Linked DNA regions of Cricetulus griseus. The protein of the gene in region 1 purifies or fractionates together with the protein of each later gene. This does not show direct contact. Links are inferred from orthologs where the notes say so. Each region holds a gene or a part of one and is shown in the gene's direction. Other genes may lie near its edges.

Region 1 (3,932 bases):
GTATTTAAAATCTAGGGAGAAGTGGTCTAAGACAGGGTTTCTCTGTTAAACCAAGCTGGCCTCAAATGCAGAGATCCTGCCTTTGTCTCCCCAGCCCTGGGTTTAAAGGCATTTGTCACATATGAGAAACTCTTGAAAACAAAGGTTTTCTAAATTGGAGCTTGTGTTAGTTAAGTTTCACTGAAGCACCAGTTTAGCTTGGTCACAGTGCTTGTGTTGGAAACATTTTGTTTGGAACTCCCTCTGTAGACCAGGCTGGCCTTGAACTCATAGTAATCTACCTGCCTCTGCCTCTATAGTGTCGAGGATTAAAGGTGGGTGTGACCTTGCCCTTCGGGTTTCTTTTTTTTTAATGCATATACAGGATAGAGGGAGATAACAGTTCTCTGAAGGAGAAAGAAAGGCATGCCTGTTTTGAGGGAAGTAAAAGAAGGGTGTCCACAGGAAATGGATCTTTATTGCTTCCTGAGGGATGACTAATGTAACCTAAAAACGCTGCATAGAGTTGTGACAATTCAGTGTGACTCTGACTTAGGGAGAGTTATTTTTAGCACTAATAGAGTGTATTGCCGTTTGATTCGAGTTTCATACAAGATCCCTTTCTCTTAGGGAAGGTATAATTGTCTTGTAACCTAAGTATGATTGAAAGGCAGTTTGATGTATTAACACCATTGTCACCACAATAAGCAACTTTTAAGGATCCTCTTATGATTTGAGCCTGGGGCTGTGGTGTCACAGGGAGTGAAGGTGAAGAGAGGCCATGGTCAGTGGGAATGTGAGCAGTCGGTGACACCTAGAAAGGTGAAGGAGACTGGAGAACTGCAATGCATTCATTATTGTGGGGTCGGTCTATCAGCCGGGGATGGGAAAACTACTGTTTTAAAAAAAAAATTACAGCAAAGATAACGCGCGGGAAGTCGCAAGTTTTCCCGCCAAAGACCGGCGCATGATCTCTGACGCGGAGGCTCCGCCCTCGTAAGGGGCGGCCCGCGGGCTCCGCCCTTAGCAGGATGGCGAAGCACGTGAGACCGGAAGGAGCTGATGGACGTCGCCTACATCCTGCCTCCGAGGCGGAGCCCCACGCTTTCGCTGCGCGCCGCGCGACGTGATGACGACACTGGGCCCGCCCCCTGCCCTGAGCGTGCTTCGGAGTCCTGAAGTCGTGCAGCGTGCGCGACGGTAGTGACGCGTTTTACCGGGAGCATGGCGGATACCGGCTTGCGCCGCGTGGTTCCAAGCGACCTTTATCCCCTCGTGCTCGGCTTTCTGCGTGATAACCAACTCTCGGAGGTGGCCAACAAGTTTGCAAAAGCGACAGGCGCCGTGAGTGCTGGGTTTGGTCCGCGGCCCGGGGTGGGACGGCTCGCCCAGAGCCGAGGCCTTGACGACACGCTTAGGAGTCAGGAGGACAGGTCTGGGGTCTGTCAGCCCAAGGTCCGCCAGGCCTTTCTGGCCACCGATGAGAGCTTGAGGCCGCACCGCCGCCTCCCACCACGTCTGACTGGGACTCTTACTGCTTTTACTTGATGAGTTTTGCAGCGGCGGCAGGCATGGGTCCCGCGTGGCCCGCCCGGGTCATGTGGCTGACAACATACGATGAGAGGCAAGCGCTGGGTCCCACAGGTAGCTGTGGATTGGCGGTGCCTGGTTCATATGGTGTACTTTTTTGTTGGCCTTACCCTTGCTCGCAATTTAGCCTGAGCCTCTGAAGATAAATTGTTAGCAATGAGGGCTAGGGTTTTATTTAATTTTTACAAAAGAAAAAAATGAATGAATATAGGGGGAGGCTGCTTTCAGTATACTGTAGGAGGAGTGAGCATCCTGGCCTGCCAGTTTTCACTGGAGCTCTGGGTAGTGAAATAAAAGAAACATAGGCTATGGCCAGGTTCTGCGACTTTTCTACATATATGACCCCGGCAGCCGTCTTTTGTTTGAGACAGGGTCTTTATGTAGCCCTTGTGTAGTAGCGGATGGCTTTGAACTTCTGTTCCTCTTGCTCATCTTCCTAATGCTGAGATACAGGCGTGTATTAACATCCCTGAGCATAGCAGGATGTCATTTAATTTACATAATTTGTTTTGTTTTGTTTTCAAGACAAGGTTTTCTCTGTGTAACCTGGCTATTCTGGAACTCTGTAGACCAGGCTGTTCTCAAACTCATACCATCTGCTTCTGCCTCCCGGGTGCTGGGATTAAAAGTGTGCGCCACTGTGCCCTGCCTAATTTACAGAATTTGGGTGCATGAGATTGACAAAGAGAAGATACACAAAGTAATAATCCCATTGTAAATAGATAGGAAACATGGGATGAGTGACAGCTGTCTCGTCAATTTGAACCCACCTTAAGAGCAAGATAAAATGGAGGAATTTGAAATGTCTAGAGTCTACATCTCAAGGAGAGTTCTATTGTTCCTGGAAACACCTTCAAAGACTAGACCTGTGGTCTTTTTCCAAGGATGAAACCATGACTAAAAACTTAGGTTACCTTTGTCTTGTTTTTAATTTTGAGATAATGTCTCATTTGTAACCCTGGCTAGCCTGGAACTTACATGCAGACTAGACTGGTCTCACAGGTATGCTCCTGCCTCGGACTCCCCAGTGTTGGTATTAAAGGCTGCACACTTGGTCTTGGTGTTTTGTTTGTCTTCTCCACACCCTCTTAGTTTCTCTTTCTCCCCCCCCCCCTCTTTTTCTCTTTCTCTCCCTCTCATGATGGGGCTTCTTTGTGTAGCAACTCTGGCTGTCCTGGAACTCGCTTTGTAGACCAGGCTGTCCTTGAATTTAGGGAGATCAGACTCCTGTGCCTCCTGAGTGCTGGGATTAAAGGCATGTGCCACCACACCTAGTGCCTTTTAAAAAGTCAATTTATTAAGTCTGCAATGGTGGACATGAGTGCAGGTGCCTGCAGAGACCAGAGGTGTCAGAAACTGTATCTGGAGTTAACAGGTGAGTCTCCTAGTGGGTGCAGGGAAATGAACTCAGGTCATCTGGAAGAGTAATATGTTTTCTTAACCACTTAGCCATCTCTCTAGCCCCTCAATTAATATTCTTTATTGTATTTTCATTGCTGAAGTCTTTCTAAGGCTTTGAAAAATATGGTTGGAAAGGCTTAGGAATAGCTAAATAGTATCAGAGGTTGCCCTTTTTTATGCTCGAAGTTAGGCAATATATAAGTAGAATATTTTTCTACTGACTTACACAAGTAGGAAAACTTACAAAGATCTAACATCCATTTCAAATTGAGTAGGTAAGTAAGAGATAACTTTTTTCTTTTTTCTCTTTTGAGACGGCTTCTACATAGCCCTGACTGTTGTATAACTCGTGTTTAGGCTAGGTGGGCCTTGAACTCACAGATCCACCTAACTCTGTCTTCTAGGTTCTGGGATCACTAGTCGCTGACAGATTATATTTGATGAAAGAGTAACATAGAATCTGACCTAGAGGTCATAACATTTCTTCAACTCAGCCTCTTTCTTGCAGACGCAGCAGGATGCCAATGCCTCTTCCCTGTTGGACATCTATAGCTTCTGGCTCAAGTAAGCTTTCCTTGTTACACTTGGGCTGTTTCTCCCCCTAGGTGGGCGGGGCTATGTTCCTTGTTTTGAGAAGGTCCCCATCCCTCAGAAGTCAGCCTAACCTACATCACCAGGTCCACCAAAGCCCCGAAGCGGAAGTTACAGTCAAATGGACCAGTGACCAAGAAGGCAAAGAAGGAGACTTCCTCCAGTGACAGCAGTGAGGATAGCAGTGAGGAAGAGGAAAAAGCCCCAGGACTTCCGGCAAAGAAGGCTGGTAAGGCAGTGTGGGGTCTGTGGTTGTGTGGTGTTCCAGGAAGGGCATCTGACTCCTGCCTGGACAGCATGGTGATTCTTGTGGGTCCCTATCTATCTTTCTATTCAGCTGTACCTGCTAAGCGAACCAGTTTGCCTCAGCA
Region 2 (3,500 bases), on another chromosome or scaffold:
AGCAGGTATACATGCCAGGATACATACATGAACATGAGAGAACAATTTTGTGACATCATTTCTCTCCTTTTATCTTTACCTGGAATCCAGGAACTTGATTTAGTTTTGTAGGGTTGAATGGCAAGCATTTTACCTACTGAACCATCTCTCTCTGGTCTATAAAACAGTTTGGTCAAAGCTAAGTAGATTGTTTAACACTGTAGATCAGTGTTAAACAATTTAAATGTAGCTTTAGAGTCTCATGGGCTGTGGTACTAATATTAATGTATCAGAAGTTCATGGTATTTAATAGAGCTATTTATTCCTCTAACATTGGGCAACTAGTGAGAGTTCTCGTCACCACAATAGGTCTAGGGAGTCAAACTTAGATGCCCAGCTTGGTGGCAAAAGCCTTGGCCTTGGCCCACTGGCCCCATTTTTGTTAGAAGTTACTTCTATTTATCTATCTATCTATCTATCTATCTATTTATTTATTTATTTATTTATTGTGCCAGGCATTTGTAGTGCACACCTTTATTCTCGGGAGGGAGATGCAGGCAGGCAGATCTCTGAGTTCGAGGCCAGCCTGGTCTACAGAGTGAGTTCCAGGACAGGCTCCAAAACAATACAGAGAAACTGTCTCAAAAACCAGAAAAAAAATTATTGCATGTAAATAGATGTTTTGTCTGCACACCAAAAGAAAGGGCATTGGATCCCATGGGGTTACGTTATATTGGGTTGTGAGCTGCCATGTGTTTGCTGGGAAATGGACTCAGGTCCTCTTGAAGAGCAGCCTGTGCTCTTCATCACTGAGTCATCTCTCCAACCCCCAGAAGCTATTTCTTTGTCCCTTCACCGAAAACAGGATTTCTGTGTAGACCAGGCTGGCCTCAAACTCGAGAGATTGACATCTTCCTTCTGAGTGCCGTGATTAAAGTCACAGCACCACACCCAGCTTTTGAAGTTATTTCTTAAAATATATGAGATTGTTTTTGATGAAATGATAACTATTTCCAGATGATAATCTGGAATAGAATCTAAAGTTAGTCTAGTATAGGGATTTTGTATTTAGAAAAATACATATTTAAGAGAAGGGCTTTTGTGCTAGGTTAAGTAACTTGGGTCTTATGGATCATAAACTAGAGATGGGCTGGGGAGTGGCTGCTTTTCCAGAGAACTCAGCTCTTCCAGAGGAGCCCATCACTCACATGGCAGTTTACAGGTGTTCGTAATCCCAATTGCAGGGAATCTGGTGCTGTCTTCTGGACTCTACAGTTACTAGACATGCAGGTAGTGCACAGGTATACATGTAGGCAAAATAATGTATGTAAAAAAGCAACAACATTTAAACTAGAAACATCAAGTTCAACTTTAAATTATTCAAGTATGTGTTGCTGAGGATCAGGCCCAAGGCTTTTCATGTGCTAAGCAAGTATTCCATCCCCAGCTCCAAAAGCCTAAAAATATAAGTAAAAAGAATGAAAGGAAGAAGTCTGTTGGAAGCAGTGTATACAGCATTAGAAGGTGGAATGAAATAGCCAGGTATAATAGAATACTCCTAGATCACAGCACTTGGAAGGCTAAAGGAGAACCATAAGCTTAACTCCAATCCTCCTGCTTCTGCCTCTGAAATGCTGGGATCAAAGTATATTCCACCATGCCTGGAATTTATGAATGGGTTTTATAAAATTTATACATTGGTGTTTGTGGTTTTTCAAGACAGGGTTTCTCTGTGTAACAGCCCTGGCTGTTCTGGCATCTACTTTGTAGACCAGGCTGGCCTGAAACTTAGGCATCCACCTGCCTCTGTCTCCCAAGTGCTAGGATTAAAGGCATACACCAACATGGGTCATTTTCATTTTAAAAGAAACACTTGGACCTTTTAAAAGCAAGTATTTGCTTTAAAATTTACATGAGAAGAGCTCTCTTAGTTATAATACATATTTTTCTGTTTTCCTGAAAAGCATTTACAGCTCTGATGGAGGGCAAAATCAATAAGCAGCTGAAGAAAGTTCTGAAGAAAATAGTAAAAGAAGCCCATGAACCTCTGGCTGTGGCTGACGCTAAACTAGGAGGGGTGATAAAGGTAAAGGAGCCATGGTTTCTGTGCCTGCAGAGCCTGCCCTCTGTACTAGGTTGTCATGAGTTTTCATAATCAGTCTTTTTCTTTTAGGCAGCATAATAAGCTCCAGTAGAAAATAAAGATAAACAAAAAAGGGATAAAATAAACGCTAACTCTGTTACTCATAGAGTCTATTAACATGGTATGACAACCGTCACATAACTTTTTATCACATTGGAAGTTTTCAGTGGCTGGTGTAAAAGTACAAGAGGGAAACCATTAAGTGAATTATGGTGGCGTAAGCCTGTAATAACTTGTACAGTATAATATAGAAATGGAGGTGGTCTGTATCAAGGAGTTACTGAATAGAGGGGAAGTGGACAGATATGACACAGGAACATTGTTAAGTTTTTTTGTTGTTTTTTGTTTGTTTTGTTGGTTGGTTGGTTGGTTGGTTTTTTTGAGACAGGGTTTCTCTGTGTAGCTTTGGAGCCTATCCTGGCACTCGCTCTGGAGATCAGGCTGGCTCAAACTGCCTCTGCCTTCCAGTGCTGGGATTAAAGGCGTGAGCCACCAATGCCTGACTCATTGCTAAGTTTTAAATACAGTTTTGTGGTTTTTTTTTTTTTTAATTCAACATCTTTATTGTTATTGTATGAGTATTTTGTCCTTGGTTATGTCTGTTGCCTGGTCCCTGTGGAGGTCAGAAAAAGAACATGAGATCCTCTGGGACAGGAGTTACAGTAGCTTCGAACCACTGTGTGGGTGTGGCAAATTGAACTCAGGTCCTCTCCAAGAGCATCCATCTTTCCAACCAATCAATACTATTAGATCAAATTATTTCACAACTCACTGTGGTGGCACATGCTGGTCGTTCCAGGAGGCTGAGGCAGGATTGCTCCTCTGAGTTTGAAATCAGTCTATGCTATATTAGTGAGTCACTATCTGAAAACCAAAAGATGGTTTTTCAGGAAAACTATTTTTCATCTTGTTCTTATAGGAAAAGTTGAATCTCAGCTGTATCCATAGTCCTGTTGTTAATGAACTTATGAGAGGAATTCGATCACAAATGGATGGCTTGATTCCTGGGGTAGAACCACGTGAGATGGCAGCCATGTGTCTTGGATTGGCCCACAGGTAAGACTTAGAGAAAGAATGCTCACTTTTATACATAGATTTAAGTGTACTATACTTAAAATGATACCAGTATTTATTTAATATGAAGATGTTGCTATTGCTCACCTTCAGTATAGCTGGTAAGTGATGTAAACCCACAGAACCTAGCTTTTTAAGATTTATTTATTGTGTATATATTGTTCTGCTCACATGTATCCCTGCAGGCCAGAAGAAGGTGGTTGTGAGCCACCATGTAGGTGCTGGGAATGGAACTTCTAGGACCCCTGGAAAACCAGCCAGTGCTCTTAACCTCTGAGGCATCTCTCTAGCCCCTATTGCCTGT
Region 3 (4,070 bases), on another chromosome or scaffold:
GCCCACATTGGAGTTCTTTGTTTATTTGTTTGTAGCAGGGTTTCTCTGTGTAAACCTGGCTGTCCTGGAACTTGCTCTGTAGACCAGGCTGGCCAGATCTGCCTCCTGAGTGCTAGGATTAAAGGCATGGTCCACTGCCAGCCCCTGGTTTTATATTCTCTTTGCAGCATGTCAGAACTCTGTTGGGAAAAAGGTACTATAAGCTTGCTTCCAGTATTCTGGACTCTCTTTTTCACAACTCTCCAGCCTAGCAGTACAGAGTTTGGGGTTCCCTTACTAAACAACAAGTTGATTCACACATTCTGACTCGTGCAGTACCTCCAGCCTGTCCTCTCTTCGGTGCTCAAAAGTTTCCGTTTCTGCTGTTGCTGGGCGGTGGTGATGCAAGCCTGTAATCTCAGCACACAGAAGGCAGAGGCAGGGGAAATCTCTGCGGTTTCGATGACAGCCTGGTCTACAGATCGAGTTCCAAGACAGCAAGGACTACCCAAAGAAACCTTACCTGAGGTGTGGGAGGCGGTCTCCTGTCTTTGAATCTAAATGTATGTAAGTCTCTTTGGGTTAGGTGCCCCTCCTCCATGCTTCCATGGGCTCTGCCTTCTCTTGAACTGTAATTGTCAACTGTATCTCCAGCCTGGGTGATCTTTGAAGTCAACTGCTTGTTTTGTTTCTCGTTACATGTCCTCAGCCTAGCTGGGTGCTAACCTAACATATAGGGTTTGGGTAAGGATTTATGTAGTGATTCAACACACTAATGACAACTGATGCCTGGACCTAAATACTGTATGAAATAATGAGTAATTGGAAGCTGGGGCCAGTGATCAGAAAGTTCGAAGATGAATAAAGATGCCCTATCGTTAAGACCAGGTCAATAAAGCCCTTCAAGGGCAGTGGTGGCACACGCCTTTAATCCCAGCACTTGGGAGGCAGAGGCAGGCGGATCTCAGTGAATTCGAGGCCAGTCTGACCGACAAAGTGAGTTCCAGGACAGCTAGGGAACAACTAGGACTGTTACAGAGAGAGACCGTGTCTCGAAAAACCAAAAAAAAAAAAAAAAAAAAAAAAAAAAGTAAACCAGAATTAAGATGAAGGAGCCCTTTCCATCATGGCCGTCCCGAGGGCGGGTCGAAATCAGGCCACGCCTCCAAACCAATGGCAGAGATGATTAGCCTTCGTGGCTCCGCCCTCTCGGACGGTATGGCCCACTCCAGCTGCAAGACTACATTTCCCAGTGCGCCACACGGCTAGGTGACGCAAAGCCGGAAGTGAGGAGCATGAGGTCCTAGGGCACGAGGGAAGAGGCTGGCGGGGGGCTAGGGGGCGTGCACGTGAATAGGCTGGCCGGATCTCTGGCATGGCCGAGGCCAGGAAGCGGCGGGAGCTGCTTCCCCTCATCTACCATCACCTGCTGCAGGCTGGCTACGTCCGCGCGGCGAGGGAAGTGAAGGAACAGAGCGGCCAGGTAAGCGTCGGAGGGCCAAGTGCAAGACCTAGAGAGCAGTAGCCCGCGCCCCTCCCTGGAGACCCGGCCAGCGCGGGTCCGAGATGCGGGACCAGGGGTGCAGGAGGAGCATTAAGGTCTACTCTAACCCCTGCGACTTCCAGCCGCCTCCCGGGGTTCAGTTTCCTCGTCGGTGCAGTGGGCGGGCCGGAACCTCTGATCCGAGGCATGCAGCTTTGTAATTCCCGCCCCGGTTCCCGGTAGCCGCAGGTTTAAGTTTCCCTAGTTTCAGGCCACGTGGCTCTATGCAGTTTTCCTAGGGCACCCTGCTAGTCGCTGGTCTCGGGGTGGATTGTCATCATCCTTGTTTGGAACACGGAGAGGAAGGCCCCCTTAGTTGATGATCTGGAATGCAGGGCGTGCAGGCCCTTGACTGTCTTCGGTTATAACAAGACTCAAACTCATGGTGCAGTAATTCTTCCACTTGGCAACTTTTAGTTTGACCCTGGGGTGCAGATGACGAAATGGGGACCGCCAGTCTCAGGCCTCCCTGCTCATCTCACAAAAGTATCACAAGTGTTCTGTACGGTTAACATTGTATTAAGCTGTAGAATGGGAGATTTGAGATGTTAAAACATGGCTGGCAGAATCTGGGTGGGGAATACCCAGGACTGCTTCTCTGAGGGTGTAGTAGTTGGTTTGGAGAGCTCAAGGGAGATGGGTAGTTATAGGTGCTGATGCCCTGAAGTTGGAATGGAGCTTCTGAGTGTTCTAGCCTCCAGAAAGTTTGCTGTACCTGAAGTTTGAAATCCATGACTATGGAGTCTCCCAAAGAGATGGAGGCTGGAATGATCCATGGGTAATCTTCCCAGAAGAGCAGTGGTAATCACTGGTGAGATATATAATAACTGGTGGATATGTTGTGAACTCACGGCTAGCCTAGTCTGCATAATGGATTCAAGGCCAGCCCAGGGCTAAGTTGTGAGAACTTGTCTCAGAAACAAACGAACTCAAAACCGAAGGCTGCTGGGCTTTAGGATGTTATATGTGGTTTTCCTGACCTTCCTGGACCTTGATGCCCTAACAGATAGGGGAAGCAGGACATAGTGCCCATCATCATGGTTTGTGTGCCCAAGCAAGAGTACCTCTTCTCACAGAGCAGATACATAAAAATAAGCTTGTAGATTAGCCTGTCTAGATTGTGGCAGGTGCTGGCCACAGTGAGGGGAAGCAAGGAAGATATGGAATGTCAGACTCCAGTTACAGCTAAGGTGGTCAGAGAAGTCTTATGGCGAAGATGACATTGGAGTAGAGACTAGGAAGAAGTGGAGAGTTGAGCTGTGTGGTTGGCAAGAAGGAGAACAGTAACAGGAATGACAAAGCCCTGTTAGGAACTGGTGGTCCAACTTATTTATTATGACACTATGCCTGAGTTAGCGCAGAATCAAATTGACTAGATAGGGCCCTTCAGACTGACAGCAGCCCTTTCCATCTTATGTTTACTGAGCTGTAAAGAAGTATCCTGGAGTTTGCAGAGATAAGAGATGAGTTATCCAGTGAGTAGGAGCTCTTCCAGACTCTAGGCCAATCTGTTTGGGTGCTGGCTTGGTTTTTTTTTTTTTTTTTTTTTTTTTTTTTTCCCCTCTACGTGTGTCTCTTTTGACTCATTAGAGCACTTGGCTGTTCAGTCTTGATTTCTACACAGTGTATCCTCGGCCTAGGCCTGGTACCTGTTTTCCTCTGTTTTAACTGAAACCCTTGAACCAGCCAGGCAGTGATGGTGCATGCCTTTGATTTGTAATCCCAACACTCAGGAGGCAGAGGCAGGCAGATCTCTGAGTTAAAGGACAGCCTGGTCTACAGAGTAGACTGCGTACTTATTGGAGCTTTCTATTATTATTTCTCTACAGAAGAGTTTCCTGACTCAGCCCACCACCCTTCTGGACATCTATACACACTGGCAACAGTAAGTCTGGTGGAATGGAAGGGATAGAACAGGGTTACCATAACTGATCATCTTTGCCACAAGGTAATATACTAATGTGGTCTAAGATATGATCCAATAGCCCACTGTGGACACTTGTCACCTTCAAAAGGCAGGTTATATCATATATATGGGTAATCTCTGTGTGTAGCTTATCACAGGGGGAGACATTCTGAGTTGGAGCCCATCTGTTTTTGTTGTTGCTGTTTTGTTTTTGAGACAGGATCTCACTCTGTAGACCAAGCTGGCCTCCAGTTCTGGCACTAAAGGAGTGTCCGACCACACCCAGTGAAAGATGGATCTCTTAAGAATAAAAGCTTGAGCCAGGTGGTGGTAGCAGCCCACATCTTTAATCCTAGCACTCGGGAGGCAGAGGCAGATGGATCTCTTTGAGTTTGAGACCAGCCTGGTCTACAAGAGCTAGTTCCAGGACAGCCTCCAAAGCCACAGAGAAACTCTGTCTCGACCCCCCCCCCCAAAGAAAAAAAAGCTTGTGGTGGCACTGACCTTTAATCTCAAGGCAGAGGCAAGAGGATCTCTAGGTTCAAGGCCAACCTGGTCTACATAGTGAGATCCTGTCACAGAAAAGAATTGGAACAGATGGTTTCCTTTTTTTTTGTTTTGGATTGTTTGGTTTTTGGCTTT
Region 4 (4,218 bases), about 84 Mb from region 1:
CGATGACCTTAAAACAGAGAGATCATTCTGGATTACCCAGATGGTCCCTGTGTCATCTCAATGGTTTTCAAAAGGAAAGGGAGGGCAGATCTGAGTGATGCCGTATATAATGAGAAGGCCACCTTCTCTCATTGACTTTGAAGATGGAGGAAGGAGGAGGCTTCCAGAAGCCAGAGAGAGTAGGAAGCAGATTTGCCCTAGAACCCCCCAGAAGTAATCAAGGGCTGCTGACACCTTGATTTTAGCTCAAGGAAGCCCACTTGAATTTCTGAAGCACAGAACTCTAGTTAAGTTTGTGTTGTTTGAAGCCACTGAATTCGTGGGACTTTGTAAATAGCAGCCACAGAAAATGAGCTTGAAGGGTTTGGGGACCCATGGATGGTTCCTTCTGTGCCTCTGGCTGAAAGTGGCATGTGACATTTGCACCCGCATTTCATTGGTCAGAATAAGCCACAGGGGGGCGTCCAACTCCACAGGAAGGAAGATGCCTGGCATCCCATACATCCAGCCTCAGGGAATCCTGGTGCCTGTAGGGAGTATCTAGTACATCTTTGTTGCCTGTAGCACTTGTTTCTATAGTCTAGTCCATCCCATTTCATTAAAAATCAAAAAATAAAGCCAGGTGTAGTGGCACTTATGAGGCTGAGGCAGGAGGATCTCTGAGTTTGAGGCTAGCTTGGTCTACATAGTGTGTTTCAGGATAGCTAGAGCTACATTTGTGAGACCCTGTCTTGAAAACAAACAACCAACCTCAAAATATAATCAGGCATAGGAGCGCATGTCTTTAATCCCAGCACCTGAGAGGCAGAGGCAGGAGAATCACTGTGAGTCTGAAGCCAGCTTGTTTGTATTTGAGTTCCAGGACCCTGCCTCAAAAAAAAGGATCTCTGTGTATGTACGTACTGTATGTGTATGTGTGCGTAGAGGCTAGAGGTCAACTATGGATGTCTTCCACTATCATTCTTCACCTAATTTTTTGAAACAGGGCCCATCACTAAACATGGAGCTTTCTGTGAACCCAGAGCTCTTTATGTAGGCCAGACTGTGTGGCCACAGAAGCCCCCGGGATCTGCCTATCTTTGCCTTCCCAGTGCTGAGGTTACAGGTGCAGCCTGCCACATATAGCTTTTACATGGGTACTGGGCATCTGAACTCAAGTCCTCATGCTTGTGAAGCAGGCGATTTATCCACTGAGCCAGCTCTCCGACCTGTAATGTTTTAAGTAGGTTTCCTAATCAACCAGTGACTTGCAACCTCTGGTTTGGACAATACTAATCTCCAGAGCCTCTTCTGCTCATGCTTCATGGACCACAGGCTATGTCCTGGACACAGGTGATTGGGCCAGGGGGTGGGGTACCTAATCAAAGCTGACCAATCAGATTCCTCTCCTGGGAATTTGGAATTGGGCCATTCAGTCAGTTAGCAGCGGGAAGCTGAGTGAGAGGCAGGGTAGAAACAGGGTTGGAGTGTGAGTCACATGCGAGCCCAAAGGATGGAGGAGCAGAAAAATCCCTGAGTAAGCGGGGCGCGCTGGTCCACAGAGACAATGGAGCAGCCGCACAGACAGCCTCGCAGCCAGGAGGCCCTGCAGCAGCCCCAGAAGGAGCGGTGGAGACAGGGAGCTACGGCTTGAGGCTCCGATGGCGTCCCCATTCTCAGCTCCGGCCCCAGCGCATCCTGCCTGCTCATCCTTCCCGTGAGATTTTGGCCTCCTTATTAGGACCTCCTCTTCTTTCTCGAGCTATCCTGAACCTTAACCAGGAAGGACACTGCTGGTCTTTCTCTTTGGGGAACCCAGCTGTGACTAAGGCTCAGGTTGTGGGGCACAGGCAAGGCTGGGGGTGAACAGACGCAGCTGCTCAGCAAGGCTGGCTGGGATTGTGGGCTTAGGTTAGGCCACGGGCAGAGAGGTCTATGCGGTGTTGCACACGTGGGGTTGTGGAAACGGAAAATACCCCATAGAGCCTCTTTTCTGACAGTGTTGGGGCAAGAAGTGAGTGGAGTTTTGAGTGGTGGTGCTTGGCTATGTGATGGAGTGGTTGAGTCTCGTGGGTGCCTCTTCGAGCCTCAATGTCTCCATCTTTGAAATGGGATTGTCCAGGAAGAGCCTTGTCCTGGGAAAAGTACTTAAAGGCATGAGTGGGGAATAATAAACAGACAGAGAATGAGGCAGCTGCTCTTGTTGTTTGAGGAAGCCACAAGAGTCCTGGCTTCCTGAAGGAGGTGGCCTCGGGTGCTGACTAAGGTAGTGGCAGGACATTCCCCACTGATGGCTGTGCTTCCTGCCCCTCTTCAGCCCCACTCTGCCCCTCACCCCAGTCACCTTTCATTTATCCCTCTCTCCCTCCCCTCTTGTCTGTTCTTCCTGCCGTTTTGAAACATGGATTTAGGAAACAGTGGGTTGGATTAAGGCACCAATCTCTGGAGGCCCAGTCAGAAGTGAGTCTGGGTCCCGACCTAGCCCCTTGCTTGCTGTGCTCCTGGGCAAGTTAATGCATCGCTTGGAGCCTCCAGTTAATTATCTGTGGAGTGGGAGTTAGACTATCCTTTCTACTATGAGAAATAATGAGCTGCTCGGCAGAGCTTTAATTCCCCTCCCCTTTGCCTCTCTCCGCTGCTTGGTGAATATTGCTCCTCCTGGCCCCACGTGTGCCTCGTCCTTCCCGGCAGCCACTAGAGTGGCTTTCTCTCTCAGTTGTTTATCCTGCCTGGGTGTGAGATCTTTCCTTTTCCTTAGAGCACAGGCTACCAAGGGCTGGAGGTAATTGTGACTTGGAAGCCACAGGGTTTTCACTTCTCTGGTTTCCTGGAGAAACATGGAGCTCCTAGCTTCTAGCTTGGAGTTGCTGGTTCAGATGGAGTGGTCTGCATTTTTTTCCCCTTACTTTAACAATTATCACACCCTGGCCAGTTGTGGCTTCTTCACACTCCCAACACTGATAAATATTAATGAGAAGACAAGGCTCCCAGGGCCCCTAGGGGAATGTTTGGGGAGAGGCTGGGCCACGCTCTCCTTTGCAAGCAATACTCAGACCTGTCAATATTCCCTAGGTCCCAGAAGGGAGGGTGAGGCAGGGCCATGGCTGTGGAGACCCCACACAGTCACAGGCCTGGATGCCTGCAGATCAGCTTCTGGGAAGGATTGGGGCACACCCTGCTGAGGCTGCCTAGGGGTTTCACCTTTCTGGGTCTGTCCCATCTCTCCCTGCTTCAGGCTTTCTGATTCTTTCCCTGGTTTTCTTCTCCTCCTGTCTCTTGTTCATCTTTTATTTTCATACCTCTACCTCTGTCTCTCTCTTCTCTCTTCACACCTCCCCTCCTTTCAATACCTTTCCTCATCCCCATCTCTCTAGCTTTCACTTTTCTTCTGCCTCTCCCCAGTAATGGCTGAGAAATTGTGGGCTGGATAAAGGTACTTAGGCGAGGGAGACTCGGGTTCCCAGACACAGCTCTAGAAGGGGAAAGGTTGCCATGAAAGGCAAGTGGCACTCTTCAGGATTTAGGGACTACATTACCATCTAATCTCAGGCCCAGTGCTCTGCTATTCGAGCATAGGCATCTGCCCCCACATTCCTGTGCCTCTGTCCCTCAGTGAAGCAATGAAATTCATTCATTTATCTGTTCAACTAGTTTATATTGTACTCTTGCCACCCTCAATCATTTAACAAGTATTTCTTGAACAATAGTGACGTGTGCCTTTGTGTGTGTTTGGGATGTACCCGTGGACAGGAGAGACAGTGGGCATATTTGGAGCGGGCATGCCAGCAGAGCAGACAGGTGGGGCAAGAAGTAAAGTATATGGTCAGGGGGTTGCTGGGAAGAAAGGAAGAGTGAATCAAGAGAAGGACTGGCTGACAGGGGTAGTGGGATTGGGAAAGTGGGCATTTGGGAAGAGTGTCCAGGGTAAGAGAGTAGGGTAGGGGAAACTGGGAGCAAAGGCCTTGTGCAGCAATCACCTGGTGGATAAGGAACGAGGAACAGAGGGGCTGGAGAGCAGTGAGGCTGGAGACTAAGGGAGGGTGGCAGGAGGTGACATAGGGAGGGAAAGAGGCCAGGTCAGATCACTGGGACTTAGCAGGCACTGAAGGATTTTCCTTTACTCGAGCTGGGTGGGCTTGTGAGTCTCCCTCAGCCCACTCTGAAGGATTGAAGGAGGGCTGCAGGCAGCTAACATTCATCCTAGGAGGAGAGGTGGAAGGAAGGAAGCTGTCCTGCTCT
Region 5 (4,160 bases), on another chromosome or scaffold:
CACAAAGCTTGGGCTTTCACCCGCAGGGTACACATACATGGCCCTTCTGGTCACTTCTAGGGTTCCATGCAGCTGAAGTCAGTGGCAAGGGGTAGGACACAAGTCTATTTTGGCAATGAGAGTTGGAGGGCTGGGCCTCTGTCCATTTCCATATAGTTTCAGGGCTTCTACCTCTCCATGGGACTCATCAGCCCATTTCTTATTCGACGAAGTCAACAAGCATGCAAAGGGCTAAGGACCAGAAATGACAAGACCTAATCCTCCTGTGTCTGTGGAGACACTGGACCTACTGGAAGAGCCATGTTTACAGCCCCTGTGCTTGAATTTTGTGAAGTCACTGAGTTAAGAAAACAAAACAGACCTAACTTATAAATGTGCTTTCTGATAGAATTTCCAAAATCCCCCTAGGCGTTGTAGAAGAGTAAGCAGAGGGTCTGCAATGGATTCTCTATAGATGGCACAGGGCTGGGAGGCAAGAGGATCAGAAGTTCAAAGGTCATTCTCTGCTACAGAGCCAATTGAAAGACAGCCCTGGAAAGAAAGAGATAAAGAGGGAAGGAGGAAGGGAAAAGAAAGGAAGCGGGGAGAGAGAAAGGAAGAGCGACGGGAGATAAGGGTGAGGAAATGCGAGGTCGAAAGAAAATAAAGAGTGAATGGAAGGGAGGAAATCTTGGCATTGTTATTAACCCATTAAGGCACGGAGTATCTAAAATATAACTACGTTTGGGACTTGTAACTCTAACATTACTTAAAAAAGGTTTTTTCTTTCTTTAAAGAAAAAGTAATTTTAAACTAGCCACTTCGGTGTGCCTAAAAGCAGCCCTGGAGAGCAGGAAGCTGCTCCTTGATAGATAAGGGCCTAACGGGCGATGACAAACACGTGGCTCCGCGCAGAGCTGGCGCAGAGCTGTGAAACAGGGCAAGGAACAGACCTAAACCACCCTTCCTATGCACGCTACTGCTCGCACCAGTACTTTCTGAGCAATAAAATTTACGAGGAAGAGGCAGGCGGCGAGGAGCCGCCATTTTTGCAGCGTCTGAGGCGGAGTCGCAGGCGGCAGGCAAGGACCCGGACTGTCACCAGAGGCCTCGGGCCAGCGGAAAGCCTGCGACGCTCGTCATGGAGTGTCTCGTCCCCTCACCGAGTTCTGCCGCTCGGCCCACGGTGACAAAAGCACGAGAGACGGACAAGGGCGGTCTCCAGAGCACTATGCAGCCTCAGGCTAGAACGGACGCCATTTGCCCCGGTCTCCGCACCGGCTCGCGCAGCCGCAGAGGCTCGGATGGGCCGGCCCGCTCGCGCCCGCTGCAGTCTAGCGCGCCCGGCGGACGATACCACACCCGCGAACCCCTCCGAAGACATGAAAATGGTTCCGTCCTCAGCCTCTGATTGGCCAAGGAGGGGAGGGCGTGGTCTCCGCAGTCTAGTTCCGCGCGCCAGAGCGCGCTAGCCGCATTGCGAGCTGGGCACGGAGCAGGCGCCATGGTGAGGAGTGGTTGTGGGTTATTAGTGACGAGAAGGCCTCGGTGCGGGTCTGGGTGTGCGTTCGGATTCGGGTTCGGAGTATGGGCCAGGACCTGCTCTAAGAGCGGCCGGCGGGACTCGGTAGCTTGACTGATGGCCGCGCGCCGGTTCCCGTTTCAGGTTGTGCTGCACGTGCTGTTCGAGCATGCGGTCGGCTACGCGCTGTTGGCCCTGAAGGAAGTGGAGGAAATCAGCCTGCTGCTACCGCAGGTGGGTGGGATCGGTGGGCTCGGGGTGCTGCAATGCAGCCCCTAAGGCCGCCGAACCCCATCATGCACCGCGTGTTCCCACGTGGCCGACCGCACCGGCAGAGGGGGGGGTGAAAGCTCAGGAACGAGATTTTTAATTAATGCGTATCTGTATAATCTCCTTAGAGAGTGGAGATAAACACCTCAAATCTTGAGAATTAAAGTAGAATCGGGATGTGGAGCTTAGGCACCAGTGTTCCCATGAATATTACAGCTGGTTCCTGGTTTACTGCGCTGTGGAGGCCAAATTCAAAGAAAGCCCATTCATTCCTCCTCTCCACAGGTGGAGGAGTGTGTACTTAACCTTGGCAAATTCCACAATGTCGTTCGTCTGGTCGCCTTCTGTCCGTTTTCTTCATCCCAGGTTGCCTTGGAAAATGCCAATGCCGTGTCTGAAGGTGAGTTAGTCGCTCAGCGACGAGTGATTCTAAGCGACGGTGTTCTAAGATGATTTTGCTGAGCACGTGATGCATGCTAGGTATTGGGACCTACAAGATGACAGTAGGAGCTCACTGCTTCACAGTTGTGCCACCGTGGTGAAGCCAGGCTTTGCACTGATGACTTGAAAAATCTGTCAATCCACTGAGTGTGATCACTGATGTCTCCATGTTTCTGAGCAATGCCTGGAGGGGTGGGTGTTCTTTCGTGATCCGATGTGGAGGTGGAGTCTTACAGGTAAAGTGTTCTTTGTCCCAAGGTGTTGTTCATGAGGACCTCCGTCTGCTCCTGGAGACATACCTGCCGTCTAAAAAAAAGAAAGTATTGCTGGGGGTTGGAGACCCCAAGATTGGTGCTGCAATACAAGAGGAGTTGGGGTACAACTGCCAGACTGGAGGTGTGATAGCTGAGATCCTTCGAGGTAAGATAGTCCTCCTGTTCCGAAGCTGCTAAGATTTTATGTGTTAGTGCTTGCACTTACTGCGTGCACCATGTAAGTGCAGTGCCCACAGAGGCCAGAAGAGGGAGACAAGAGGTAGATGGTTATCTTGGCTATTCCGTGGCCACGTGTTTTATTCATAGTCCCGCCTTTTAGGAGTTCGTCTGCACTTCCATAATCTGGTGAAGGGTCTAACAGACCTGTCTGCGTGTAAAGCCCAGCTAGGGTTGGGACACAGCTATTCTCGGGCCAAAGTGAAATTTAATGTGAACCGGGTGGACAACATGATCATCCAGTCCATAAGCCTTCTGGACCAACTGGATAAAGATATCAATACCTTCTCAATGCGTGTCAGGTAAGATGCAGTGCATGGGCTACCAAACACTGGGCTCTTTGGCCTGTGGTTTAGCTATTATAAACTTAACAAGGGTCAAGCAGGGTTGACAATTCCTGCGGGTATAATCATGGGCTAAAGCCAGGCCTCCTTGTGCTTACCACAGGCTGTGTTCTTAACACTGACTGTATAGAAAGAGGAGGCAGAGTAAACCTACCCCATGTACACCTCAGCCTAGGCCATTGTGCCTGGTCTGAATTGTGAATGGGGAGACATGGATTTGAGGGAGACTTGGGATCTGGTTTATTTGAGGTTTGGCAAACTGGGTAAGGGAATGATTGTAACTCTGCAGGGAGTGGTATGGGTACCACTTTCCAGAGCTGGTGAAGATCATCAATGACAATGCCACCTACTGTCGCCTGGCTCAATTCATTGGAAACCGCAGGGAATTGAATGAGGAAAAGCTGGAGAAGCTGGAAGAGTTGACTATGGATGGGGCCAAGGCTAAGGCCATTTTGGATGCCTCTCGGTCCTCCATGGGTCAGTGCAGAGCCTGGCAACCTGCATAAGGTACGAGACTCCTTGAGTATTTGGTCCCCCTGTTCACACTAGGTGTTTCCTAGGCATGGACATATCTGCTATCGACTTGATAAACATCGAGAGCTTCTCCAGTCGTGTGGTGTCTTTGTCAGAGTATCGCCAGAGCCTACACACTTACCTTCGCTCCAAGATGAGCCAAGTAGCCCCCAGCCTGTCAGCCTTAATTGGGGAAGCGGTGCGTTATGGGACTACAAATGGGGGAGTAAAAATGTTAGCATACTGTACCGCTATACTTCTGGCTACCATGTTGTCCCTAGTTGTTGCATGGTGGGGAGGAAAATAGGGGTGAAACTGATAAGTCAAGTTCCCCCCTACTCACCTGGCTTCTTCCTTGGATCTTTCTCCAGGTAGGTGCACGTCTCATTGCTCATGCTGGCAGCCTCACCAACCTGGCCAAGTACCCAGCATCCACAGTACAGATCCTTGGGGCTGAAAAGGCCCTGTTCAGGTACCAGTGAGGGTGCCTGCCCATGTCAGGTGCTACTTCTGGTGCCCGCTGCTTTGTTTGGGGATTACAGTGATGGCTGACCAGGACTCCCTGACCTATACAGGCCTCTGCTATGGGGGTGATGGCCA
Region 6 (3,500 bases), about 160 Mb from region 1:
TGCTTGGTGGTTGGGTCAGTTTTGTTCTGTGTTTCAGCTTGTTCGAATTGCCAAGGTTCTGGGGACAGATGAGCTGTATGGATATCTGAAGAAGTACCACATAGACCTAGATCCACACTTCAATGATATCTTGGGACAGTAAGTAAGAAAGGAGAGGGAGGGAGGGAGAGAAGGAGAAAGGAAAGAAGGAAGCACTTTGCTCTACTTCAGAAGTGGTAAAGTTAGACAACATCCAGTTTCCCTTTTCTAACTTCAATATTGATATTTATTTACTTATTTATTGAATGAACCAGGGTCTCAGTGGCTATGTAGATCAGGGCTAGTTTTGAACTCACCGGGATCTACCTGCCTTGGCCTCCCAAATGGTACGACTCCTATTTATCAGTAGAAAATGGAAAATAAGCCTTGTGTAGATATGCATGTTTCTAATCACAACACTTGGGAGGCTGCAGCAGGAGAATCAAGAGTTTGATCCTGTGGAAGCAAATGGAAAATAAAGTCATAATGTTATAGAAAAAATGTTTATTTGGTCAAAGCTTGTGCTTTTTCAAAAGAAATTATTTCTTCTTGTTTTATATGTAAGCCTGTTTTACCTGTGTGCACATAATGTACTGTGTGTGTATGCTTAGCCAGAAAAGGGGTCCTCTGGAAGTAGAGTTACAGATAGTTAATAGCTACCATGTGGGTGCTGGGAACTGAACCTGGGTTCACTGGGAAAGCAGCCAGTGCTCTTAACTACTGAGCCATCTCCCTAGCCCTGCATATGCTTATTTTGATGGCAAATCTTAGAAAACGAGGCTTCTTCAAATAAGTGAATAGCTTATTTTCTGAAGTTTTATAATAAATATTAAGGCATGCTAAATTTTCAGGTACAGTACCTAGTTTCGTGACTTAGGTATTTTGGGGTGGGGATGGTCTTATTTGTTTGCTGTGTAGCCTCCTGGCCTCAACCTGAGTGCTCAATTATAGGTGTGTGCCACCATGTCCAGCCTCAGTGCAGTGTGTTAAAAGTAAATGTTTGGCTAGTGGTCTTCAGGCATTATTTTATGAAATTGCTTGTTTCTAAAGCCAACCTTCTAAATATATCTACTGACCAGTGCATCACTTAGTCACCGCCAGGCCTTACTCACGGTTGATTAAAAGACAGGCATAAGAGTAATCCAGAAAGATTGAACAATTCTCCCTCAGATATAGATATTTTCAATAGATTCTGCTCATCTAATAATTGAGCAGTTTTATGTCATGGTTATAACTGTGGGTGACAGTGTGTGTATACTAGCCCATTTGAAGTGGGCACCGATAAGAATGAGCTTCAGCTGTTGCACGAAGTGCAGTATTCTAAGGGTTTGTTTATGTTATGTCTATTAAAGGAGGGTTTATCTGGTTGTTTAGTCTCAGAATACTAATATTCACTTTGTTTGTTTTTGTTTTTTAGACATTCACGGAAGCGCTGGGAAAACTTTATCCATAGTGAAAACAGACACCTTGTCAGTCCTGAGGCCCTAGATCTTCTTGACAAGCTCCTGCGGTACGACCATCAACAGAGACTGACTGCCAAAGAGGCCATGGAGCACCCGTACTTCTGTGAGTTATTAAATGGCAAAAGATGTCACCTTTATCTTTGGGGTCAGACAGAAAACTAGGTATTTGGATTTAGATCAGCCTAGGAATTTGGCTTTAAATTTTATTCATTTTACTGGACCACTGAGGCCATTTTATGGGTGATTTGATTAGTTCTCGAAGGTGTTTGCTGTTCAATGTTAGTAGTACCTCTGAGGCCAGGCTGTATAACCCACTGTCATCACCCTGGGCTTGTATACTGAAAGGTATCTAAGATTTTTTTTTCAAGTGCAAAAACCTAATCAAAGATTATTTTTTCTCTTTTAAAAAAAATTTAGGGGGGGTGGAGGAGGAGGGATGGGGGTGAGGGAAAGGGAGAAGGGATTGACATATGAAACAAGCTTGTTTCTAATTTGAACCAATTAATAATAATAATAATAATAATAATAATAATAATAATATTTAGTTAAAAGTAGTAAGATCAGGTCGGGTGGTGGTGGCAGCACACACCTTTAATCCCAGCACTCAGGAGGCAGAGGCAGGCAGATCTCTGTGATTTTGAGGCCAGACTGGTCTACAGAGTGAGTTCCGGGACAGCCAGGGCTACACAGAGAAACCCTGTCTTGAAAAACAAAACAAAGTAGTAAGATCATTGCTTTTTTAATGTGATTCTAAAGGAAGCAACATGTAAGCAAGAGGAATTGCAGGTAAGCAGGTAGCAGGTATGGCAGCTGGATTCTGACCTGTGACATCTCTCGGAGCATATGTGTTCCTTCTGCACTTGCTTGTGTTTTGGGTCCATGTAGTGTTCTTCCCACTGAAAGTCTCCTAGACACATCACCCTTGTCATTGACAGAAGAGGGTGGCTTAGTCTAGTCATGGAAGAAGTTGAATGTGACTTATCTTCATTTCTGTTCCTTAAAGTTTTTGTCTGTTGTTTGACCACTTTTTCCTTTGGAGTTTACTAATTCCCAGTAATATTAACAGATAGGAAGGACTTATTGCCATGATCTTAAACTTTAGGCAGAAGTTTAAGGCAACAAAAAAATGTAAAGGGTCTTCTCATTTAGCCTTCTGGACCCTAAACAGCTGACATTCCATTGTTTGCTTTCTAATTTCCAACACAGAAAGCTGCTTTTATCCTTCAAGATAGGCCACTTTAGGATATTGGTGTTGCCCTGAGTGGTGGTCCACTCCTTTAAACCAAGTACTCAGAGGCAAAGTTAGTCAGATCTTTGTGAGTCTAAGGCCAGCTTGGGATACATAGTAAGACTGTATCTTAAAAACAACAACAACAACAAACAAACAAACAAAATAGCCAGGCGGTGGTGATGCATACCTTTAATTCCAGGATTGGGAAGGCAGAGGCAAGTGGATCCCTGAGTTCAAATTGTCCAGCCTGAACTACAGAGTGAGTTCCATGATAGCCTAGGCTACACAGAGAAACCCTGTCTCAAAAAACAAGCAAGCAAGCTAGCAAACAAACAAAACCAAAATAAAAAGCAGTACTGGTGTAAACTCATGAGGCAAATGTGTAAGGATTGCAAATTTAAGACCATCTAAGGTATATAGTTAGGCCCTGCCTCAGGAATAATAATAAAAACAACCTGATAGATATTTTAGATAATCATTGTTTGTTTACTTCCCTAAATAAACTCCATATTTCACTGCTGCTTAAAATGGCTGGGGTTTTGTTTGTTTGTTTTCTTTTTTCTTGGGGGGGGGGCGTGTCCCAGACAGGGTTTCTCTATGGCTTCGGAGGCTGTCCTGAAACTAGTTCTTGTAGATCCGCCTGCCTCTGCCTCCCAAGTGCTGGAACTAAAGGCCTGCGCCACCACCTCCCAGTTGTCAATGGCTTTTTTATTCACCCTTGTTTATGACATGCTAGGTATGATGTTGGTACTCAGAAATCACCAGAAATATTGTGAATTTTGAACAGT

Evidence for each region.
Region 2: the proteins of Nolc1 (region 1) and Nop58 fractionate together in Homo sapiens (co-fractionation; 3 studies listed by BioGRID, with this or other methods). This does not show direct contact. The link is inferred for Cricetulus griseus from reciprocal best matches to the Homo sapiens genes NOLC1 and NOP58.
Region 3: the proteins of Nolc1 (region 1) and Tcof1 purify together in Homo sapiens (affinity purification with western blotting; 4 studies listed by BioGRID and IntAct, with this or other methods). This does not show direct contact. The link is inferred for Cricetulus griseus from reciprocal best matches to the Homo sapiens genes NOLC1 and TCOF1.
Region 4: the proteins of Nolc1 (region 1) and Arrb1 purify together in Homo sapiens (affinity purification with mass spectrometry; 4 studies listed by BioGRID and IntAct, counting the BioPlex papers as one, with this or other methods). This does not show direct contact. The link is inferred for Cricetulus griseus from reciprocal best matches to the Homo sapiens genes NOLC1 and ARRB1.
Region 5: the proteins of Nolc1 (region 1) and Nop56 purify together in Homo sapiens (affinity purification with mass spectrometry; 6 studies listed by BioGRID and IntAct, with this or other methods). This does not show direct contact. The link is inferred for Cricetulus griseus from reciprocal best matches to the Homo sapiens genes NOLC1 and NOP56.
Region 6: the proteins of Nolc1 (region 1) and Csnk2a2 purify together in Homo sapiens (affinity purification with mass spectrometry; 5 studies listed by BioGRID and IntAct, with this or other methods). This does not show direct contact. The link is inferred for Cricetulus griseus from reciprocal best matches to the Homo sapiens genes NOLC1 and CSNK2A2.

The regions. Positions count from the first base shown.
Region 1 is NC_048596.1:15,493,971-15,497,902, reverse strand, and holds the start of Nolc1 (nucleolar and coiled-body phosphoprotein 1), read left to right. Parts: upstream 1-1,132; 5' UTR 1,133-1,203; coding exon 1,204-1,323; intron 1,324-3,478; coding exon 3,479-3,534; intron 3,535-3,647; coding exon 3,648-3,790; intron 3,791-3,898; coding exon 3,899-3,932. UniProt on the Homo sapiens protein: Nucleolar protein that acts as a regulator of RNA polymerase I by connecting RNA polymerase I with enzymes responsible for ribosomal processing and modification.
Region 2 is NC_048595.1:413,956,978-413,960,477, forward strand, and holds part of Nop58 (nucleolar protein 58), read left to right. Parts: intron 1-1,943; coding exon 1,944-2,065; intron 2,066-3,041; coding exon 3,042-3,178; intron 3,179-3,500. UniProt on the Homo sapiens protein: Required for the biogenesis of box C/D snoRNAs such as U3, U8 and U14 snoRNAs. Part of the small subunit (SSU) processome, first precursor of the small eukaryotic ribosomal subunit.
Region 3 is NC_048595.1:178,248,605-178,252,674, forward strand, and holds the start of Tcof1 (treacle protein), read left to right. Parts: upstream 1-1,270; 5' UTR 1,271-1,354; coding exon 1,355-1,462; intron 1,463-3,351; coding exon 3,352-3,407; intron 3,408-4,070.
Region 4 is NC_048596.1:99,980,193-99,984,410, reverse strand, and holds the start of Arrb1 (beta-arrestin-1), read left to right. Parts: upstream 1-1,418; 5' UTR 1,419-1,640; coding exon 1,641-1,696; intron 1,697-4,218. UniProt on the Homo sapiens protein: Functions in regulating agonist-mediated G-protein coupled receptor (GPCR) signaling by mediating both receptor desensitization and resensitization processes.
Region 5 is NC_048599.1:48,334,196-48,338,355, reverse strand, and holds the start of Nop56 (nucleolar protein 56), read left to right. Parts: upstream 1-1,360; 5' UTR 1,361-1,483; coding exon 1,484-1,486; intron 1,487-1,645; coding exon 1,646-1,735; intron 1,736-2,056; coding exon 2,057-2,171; intron 2,172-2,322; exon of another isoform or gene 2,323-2,393; intron 2,394-2,470; coding exon 2,471-2,632; intron 2,633-2,806; coding exon 2,807-3,005; intron 3,006-3,128; exon of another isoform or gene 3,129-3,262; intron 3,263-3,336; coding exon 3,337-3,524; intron 3,525-3,607; coding exon 3,608-3,759; intron 3,760-3,931; coding exon 3,932-4,032; intron 4,033-4,094; exon of another isoform or gene 4,095-4,160. UniProt on the Homo sapiens protein: Involved in the early to middle stages of 60S ribosomal subunit biogenesis. Required for the biogenesis of box C/D snoRNAs such U3, U8 and U14 snoRNAs. Part of the small subunit (SSU) processome, first precursor of the small eukaryotic ribosomal subunit.
Region 6 is NC_048596.1:171,640,315-171,643,814, reverse strand, and holds part of Csnk2a2 (casein kinase II subunit alpha'), read left to right. Parts: intron 1-37; coding exon 38-138; intron 139-1,435; coding exon 1,436-1,584; intron 1,585-3,500.